2 linked regions of the Sus scrofa genome follow. The protein of the gene in region 2 purifies or fractionates together with the protein of the main gene of each other region. This does not show direct contact. Links are inferred from orthologs where the notes say so. Each region holds a gene or a part of one and is shown on either strand. Other genes may lie near its edges.

Evidence for each region.
Region 1: the proteins of TOPBP1 (region 2) and CDC45 purify together in Homo sapiens (affinity purification with western blotting; 3 studies listed by BioGRID and IntAct, with this or other methods). This does not show direct contact. The link is inferred for Sus scrofa from reciprocal best matches to the Homo sapiens genes TOPBP1 and CDC45.

Annotation. Positions count from the first base shown.
Region 1 is NC_010456.5:51,136,097-51,139,915, reverse strand, and holds part of CDC45 (cell division control protein 45 homolog), read right to left. Parts: intron 3,756-3,819; coding exon 3,618-3,755; exon of another isoform or gene 3,562-3,617; coding exon of another isoform or gene 3,418-3,561; intron 2,850-3,417; coding exon 2,703-2,849; intron 1-2,702. UniProt on the Homo sapiens protein: Required for initiation of chromosomal DNA replication. Core component of CDC45-MCM-GINS (CMG) helicase, the molecular machine that unwinds template DNA during replication, and around which the replisome is built.
Region 2 is NC_010455.5:74,839,816-74,843,634, forward strand, and holds part of TOPBP1 (DNA topoisomerase 2-binding protein 1), read right to left. Parts: intron 3,171-3,819; coding exon 3,036-3,170; intron 1,798-3,035; exon of another isoform or gene 1,686-1,797; intron 1,361-1,685; exon of another isoform or gene 1,335-1,360; intron 1,258-1,334; coding exon 1,114-1,257; intron 271-1,113; coding exon 89-270; intron 1-88. UniProt on the Homo sapiens protein: Scaffold protein that acts as a key protein-protein adapter in DNA replication and DNA repair. Composed of multiple BRCT domains, which specifically recognize and bind phosphorylated proteins, bringing proteins together into functional combinations.

The sequences.
Region 1 (3,819 bases), on a different chromosome or scaffold from region 2:
CTCTTAGTCATCCATTCCAGGGAAATGAAGATTCATGTTCACACAAACCTGCACACAAATGTTTATAGCAGCTCTCTTCACAATAGCCGGAAATGAGATAGCCCAGATGCCCGTCAGGGAGTATATGGCTAAACAAACCGAGGTGGGTCCACACCATGGAACAAACTCAGAAACAAAAGGGAAGCAACTTGGAGTTCCCGTCATAGCTCAGTGGTTAGCGAACATGACTAGTATCCATAAGGATTTGGGCTCGATCCCTGGACCTGCTCAGTGGGTTAAGGATCCAGTGTTGCTGTGAGTTGTGGTGTAGGTCACAGACACGGCTCAGATCCAGTGTCACTGTGGCTCTGGTGTAGGCCGGTGGCTACAGCTCCGATTGGACCCCTAGCCTGGGAACCTCCATATGCTGCGCATGAGGCCTTAGAAAAGACAAAAAAAAAAAAAGGGCAAGGAGGTGTTCTCGTTGTGGCGCAGCGGAAACGAATCCGACTAGGAACCATGAGGTTGTGGGTTCGATCCCTGGTCTCGCTCAGTGGGTTAAGGATCCAGTGTTGCTGTGGTATAGGTCTCAGACTTGGCTCGGATCTGGCGTTGCTGTGGCTGTGGTTTAGGCCGGGAGCTGCAGCTCCAATTCAATCCCTAGCCTGGGAACCTCCATGTGCTTCAGGTGTCCCCCCCCCGCAAAAAGGCAAGCCATGGTCCTGAGGGAACTTTTGGAGGGTGATGGAACTCTTCTGTTCTCTGTCGTGACATGACTTTACACATTGTCAAATCTCATCAGATTAGACCTAGAGAAATTTATTGTGTAGAAGTTAAATGTCAGTAAAGCTGATTAACAAAACCCCCACGGTCCAAGGATTCTTTGACCCTCCCCAGAGCGCACAGTAGGGTCCTGTCCCCTTCCCTTGTGGCTGTGGGACACTGTGGGACCCCAAGCCTGGGCAGGAGGGCTCACACAGCTCACTAGCAAAAAACCAAACAAGTAAAAAAATGGGCAGAAAACTAAAACAGACATTTCTCCAAAGAAGACAGACAGATGACCAACAAGCACATGAAAAAATGTTCAACATCACTAATTATTAGAGAAATGCAAATGCAAATCAAAACTACTTCACTCCAGGGAGAATGGCCATCATCAAAAAGTCTATAAATAACAAATGCTGGAGAGGGTGTGGAGAAGAGGGAACTCTCCTGCACTGTTGGTGGGAATGTAAATTGGTACAACCACTCTGGAAAACAGTACCGAAGTCCCTTAAAAAACTAAAAATAAAATTCCCGCGGTGGTGCAGTGTGTTAAGAATCCGACCGCTCAGGTTGCTGCAGAGGTGTGGTTCGATCCCTGGCCTGGCCAAAAAAACTAAAAATAAAGCTACCATATGATCCAGCAATATCGCTCCTGGGCATTTACCTAAGAAAACCATGATTTGAAAAGATACATGCATCCCTGTATTCACTGCAGCACTATTCACAATACCTAAGACATGGAAGCAATCTAAATGTCCATCAACAGAGATATGAATAAAGAATATGTCGTGTATTTATGCAATGGGATACTACTCAGCCACAGAAATAATGCAATTTACAGCAACATGGTGGACCTAGAGATCACCATACAGGTGAGATAAGCCAGACAGAGAAAGACAGAAATCATATACCACTTATATGTGGAATCTGCACATAACAAATGAACAGAGAAAATAAACACAAACTCATGGATACAGAGATCTGCTACTGGGGCGGGGGGTGGGGGTGGGGGGCAGGGACGAGGGTGAAGGGAACCGGGATCTACCATATGGTGGCGGCTGGTACTAGACTTGGGGTGGTGAGCACTTTGCAGTGTGTGCAGATGTTGGACTATAATGCTGTACCCCTGAAGCTTGTAGTAAAAAGAAAGAGCTCTTAGAAATCAAAGATCAGAAGACAAAGACCAGAACTTGGCTGGAAAATAGAACAAAGAGGTAAAGAGCCAGGCAAGAGGAAAGAAATCTGAGTGGGTCTGAGAAGTCTTGCTCAGAGGACCCGACACTCTAGAAAGAGCAGGCGAGCCGAGGAAGCAGGACGCCCCCCAGTGGACAGTGTCCAGACGTCCCAGACATGGCCCTGTGAGGCCAAGGATGAGGGGAAGACCCTGAACATCCCAGAGGCAAATCAGTCCGCACAGCAAGGACCCAGAGCCAGAGGCATCCACTTCTTCACAACACTGAGCACTAGAATAATCTCAGCCTTCCCGTTGCAGCAACGACCAGTAATCCTACATCTCGCAGAAGTGCACAGGCCCCAGGCCCACTGGGTGCAAACCACTGGTATCTATCCACAAAATACTTCCCCTGGGGTGATGGTCTAGAACTGCAGCTCCTCCACAGTGAGCACACACTGGAGGGACTGGGGAAGAGAGGGGCCGCTTGTGCTGCTTACTGTTTCTTCGTGCAGCTTTAGAAAGTGTTTGCTACCTAGGTGGTAAGCTGAGCAGTACCAAGTTTCATTTCATCAGCCGGGATTCTATGGCACAGACAGGGATACCGAAGCTCAGAGAAAGTCAGAAACCTGCCCAAGGCCGCACAGCCAGGGGAGAGGAGAGCCCTGAGTCAGCAGCCGTGCCTGCTGCCCCCCAGCTCTGCCAAGGCCTTTGGCTTCGGGCTGCTCTCTGACCTCAGGAGCAACCCCCGAGTTCCTCAAGATCATGGTGAGAGGCCTGAACCCACCTCCTCTAACCGTGTGCGCTTCTCAGAAGGCTCTGACCCCTCATCGCTTTCGTTTCCTGAATGTTCTTCATCTTCCTCTTCATCCCTAAAGAGGTCGTCATAGGCAGGAACTTCCAGGTCGTCATCTTGTTTAATAAGCAGTTTGATCTAAGATTCAAACAAAAAGCAATAAACCTCCTCTCTCCTTGACCAAAAACTATCCATAGTGTTTATCTCTTACAAAATCTTACTTCCTGACTGGCCTGTGTAGCAGAGCCCCACGTGAGAACTCAGACTCTTAGATGTTTTCTCATCTTCATTTCTGCTCAGTGAGGCACTGGGATCTGTGTGCCACATGGTGCACAGAGGTACAGGTATAGTCCCTTAAGTCTGGGAAAAAGGTCCCTCTCAGGCCACACACACAGCCACCAAAGTGAACGCCTTGCAACTTGGCCTCGGACAGAGGACACAGAGACTGTGGAGACTCAGAGAAGGGCTAGGTGGCTGCTCTGCTCAGGCTCCAGGAGCAAGTGAGTCAGAGCCAAGCCAGGCTCACCATGGCCTCTCACACCTGGTCCCTATACCGCCCTGGATAAGTAGGGCACGTCCCTGCCCCATTTAGGGGCATCTCTGAGGTCTCCTGATATTCACTAAGGTTGGGTTGGCCTGAACTGGGAGCAAAGACTCAGGGTAGGGTTCTGGTCCCTACACCTCCCAGGTCGAGCAAGTTCCATACATGCACTCTGAGCACTTCCAGGGTATATGCTGTGTTTCTCATCCAGGATGGACAAGACCGGGTTCTCATCTTCAGGCTGCTCCAGCTCCTACTGGAGAGGTGGCCATGCTCCTTGCCAAGAACACCAGATGCAGTGCTGTCCATGCACAAAAAGGGAACAGACAGATGGATAGAACTCAGGGCCCCAAAGGCCTGCTTACCTGGGTATCATTGTACACGTTCACAACATTGACTGGCCTGTGAGTGTCACACACGAAAAATATGGTATCTTCATCGGGTTGAAGTATATCCAATAGGTCCACGTTAGCGCCACAGTTTATGAGGATGAAGTAATGGAACTGGAAAAAGAAGAGGGGCACCATGAGTGAGCGAGCACCTGGAGGAGCCTGTTTGTCTGCAGCA
Region 2 (3,819 bases):
AACCTCCCCTATGAAAGCCCACAATATGCCAAAATGATTGAATGCATCATTTTTTCAAATCTAGAAAATATCTAAATATTTTTCTTACTTCTCTTGTGATTTCTCCCAAAGTGTTTTTATCCAAGAAGGAAGCAAAATAGGTTTTTTTAGGTTTGCTGCAACTAAATATTTTTTGCTACCAACTTCTCCTGCAATAAGGTGAGTTACTGATACGTTAAGGTCTCTGTATACGCGTCCACCCATCATTTGTACATATTTATGAACTTCTTCCTGTAGCCCCAAAAGAAAATACTTTATTAATAGGGAGGAAAACTATATCTCTTCCACTTTTTATACAATATCCCATAAACATCTTTTGTTGTTAGTTTGAATGTACAAATGTTCACCACCACCATAAAATTAAATAATTGACAAAATTACTTGTGGGAATATAAAGTATACGTTTTAGAATAGTTATCTTTATACACATTATCTCCCTACATTTATCTTCCATAAATTTAACTATGTTGCTTCTACAATAAAAAATAATTTTTACGCCATGTACATACTCAAAAAATATAAATTATACACGTAATATATAAAAACATATACATAGCTCTCAGAAGCCTTTTTTAAAAAAATTAACCAACTATGATGGAAAAATATAAATGATTCAAAAACAAACTCACTGATTATACAGAGGAAAAAACTGAGCTTCCTCTTTAAATCAAAACAAAAAACTTCAACTAGCCAGTTTTCAACAAAAGATTCCACTGTATTCAATTTATTTATCAATTTTTTTTCTTTCGTGGCAGCCCCATGGCATATGGAGTTCCTGAGCCAGGGATCAGATCCAAGCTGCAGCTGTGGCAACGCCAGATCCGTTAACCCACTGTGCCAGGCCAGGGACCAAACCTGCGTCTTAGTGCTGCAGACACTAGATCATGTTGCACCACAGCAAGAACTCCTTAATTTATTAAAAAATTAAAAAAGATATACACTGTCATCTTGATTTTGCTATAAGTCATGAACACCAAGTGCAAGGTCTTTTGAAGTATCTCCTACACAGTGAAAAATTAAGTGTGGAAATATATATATTGATCATGATATTCCTCTCAACACCTCAACACCTACCCTTTTGTCTTTTTCCAGGCTTGTACAAGATACAGTTACATCAGACATAACCATGTTATAAACTGGATGCTCCGCTCTTGGGACACATCGCTGGTGGTGCATACAAAATATGACCACTTGAGGACCAACAATTCTGCAGCCAAGCTACAAAAACAGATAAAGTTTAGTAAGTAGGAAAAGACCTTCAGTCTTACATTAAGATTACATTTTGTAATATTTACCAATTCTTTATAGGAGTTGATGACCACTGCAGAAAAATCACCAAATTGTTACAAGGAAAAAAAAAAAAAAGACCATTATATGATTTCTCAAACATACACCACGTTAAAACACACACATACAAGCAAATCAAACAATGCAGGCTATCAAAAGAAATAAGCTCTAAAAGCCATACTCAAAGTTGCCATTAAATTTTTAATCTCTAAAACAAATGCAATCTTAATGACAGGGGATGTGAATTAACAGTCTCATGCCATTAGAATTAGTAAATATCTACATTTACTTTTCAAATGAAGCTTTCAGCCAATAAAGTAGTTTAAAAGTATGAGCTCAGATAAAGTCCCTCTAAATACCTATTATGTTACCCCAAAAAAGTATAATCCTAGGCAGTTTCTGTATTTGTTTTTTTAAAATACTTTGTCTTCAACTTAATGTCTTTTCAAGGAAGATCCACAAAGACTTCTCCTAAGATACTGCAGGTTGCTCAAAAAAAGAAAAAGAAAAAACCTTTTATTTTCATTGCTAATTGAGAAAGGTGACAGTCTTGCTCAATTCAGCACACCTGGGCCAGACTAAAAAGCCTACTGTTGCCAAAGTCACCAAAGCATGACTGATTTAAATATCCACAGAGCAAATGATTGTTGCTACCTTTTTGGTCAGTCATAAGAAAACTGAGTTTTTGATGCTGCTGATTCTACCTGACAAGCAGTGTTATTTCAAGACCAACAATGCTTTTGGCAAAGGTGGGCACAGACCTTCTGTACACTGTACAGACAGTACTGCATCTACCTACTCTTCTATGTTTTCTTCTTCTTTAAACAAGAATAAGTTCTTTGTAATCTGGATGGAATTATAGTCAGTTTACTCTTATTTCAATGCTTCTCTCTTGTCCAGACACCAAAAAAGTAATGAGTCAGTAGACTCTAGAATCAACAAAAAGAAATAAGATGGCTCATTGGTATATTAGTAATGCTTAACCCCAAAATGCTTCTGTTTAGCATATCATTTTTCAGACCCTATAAAGATATGAATACTAAGGAGTTCCTGTCTTGGCGCAGTGGTTAATGAATCCTACTAGGAACCATGAGGTTGAGGGTTCGATCCCTGCACTTGCTCAGTGGGTTAACTATCCAGCGTTTTCGTGAGCTGTGGTGTAGGTCGCAGATGCGGCTCGGATCCCACGTTGCTGTGGCTGTGGCGTAGGCCGGGGGCTACAGCTCCGATTTGACCCCTAGCCTGGGAATCTCCATATGCCGTGGGAGAGGCCTGAGAAATGGAAAAAAAAAAAAAAAAAAAAAAAAAAAAAAAAGATATGAGTACTAAAATTCAGGAGCACATAGGAAAGACAGTAAGTAACCAAGCTTTAGGTTGAGGTCTTTTCCTACTCGATTATTTTTTCCTGATAAATCTTACATTCAAACTGTGTTTACAGTGCAGTGGAATTTCATCAATAAAATGCTTCATTAACACAGGATTAACTTGTACTAAATGAAGTTAAATTCCCTGAAATATGAACTTACATATTAACCAAAGCTTACTGAAACACAATTAGCCTTAAAAAACACTACTTCCAAAACCAAAGAATTTCTCTGATTTCATAAATTGCAAAATATTTCATGGTCAGTAAAGAACTTATGTCTGCTGAAGCAAAAGCAAACCAAAAAACAGATTGCTGAAGGAACACACTAAAAGTTAAAGCAAACCTTTTTGAGATGGTCAAAGACAACACCACTAAAAGGGTCACAAATATAAAGTGATCTATCATTCTCCTTTATCTTCAATGCTTCCTCTTCTGTAATAATCTGAAGATATTCTTCTGATTGGAACTCTTTTATTGACTGAAACAAAAAATAAATAAAAATGTATCAGAAATTATTCACCTTTATTTATGTCCTATGAATTCCATCTTCAAAATCCATCTCAAATCCATCCTTTTTCCTGTTGCAAGCTATCTCTCATTAGATCCCTCCAAAGTGGTTCCTTCTCCCTCTCTTGCCCTAAATCTATTCTCCACAGAGCAGCTAGTTATCTTTTCAACAATACAAATCAGGTCAAATCACTCTGTTCAAAAATTCCAACAGCTTCCCACTACACTCAGAATAAAATCCACATTTCTTAAAATCACTTATAAGACTGGCCCCTGCCTGTCTCTGCCCTGCTCTCCACTTACCTTCTTCCTCTCATCCCTTTGGCTCACTCTTTCTCTAGCCACTCCTGCTTTCTTGCCAGGCCTGGAACAATTTAAGCATAACTTCATCTACATGCTCTGCTCTTGTTCGCACTGACCGAAATACTGTTCTCCCAGAACTTCACCTGACTTGATCTTTCACTTCGACCACATCTGCTCAAATGTCACTTCCTCAGAGATGTCTTTCCTGATCATACTTTTCTTTTGTTTTGCTTTTTCTTTACGGCCGCACCTGCAGCATATGGAAGTCCCCAGGCTAGGGGTTTAATCGTAGCTACAGCTGCCAGCCACGGCTACAG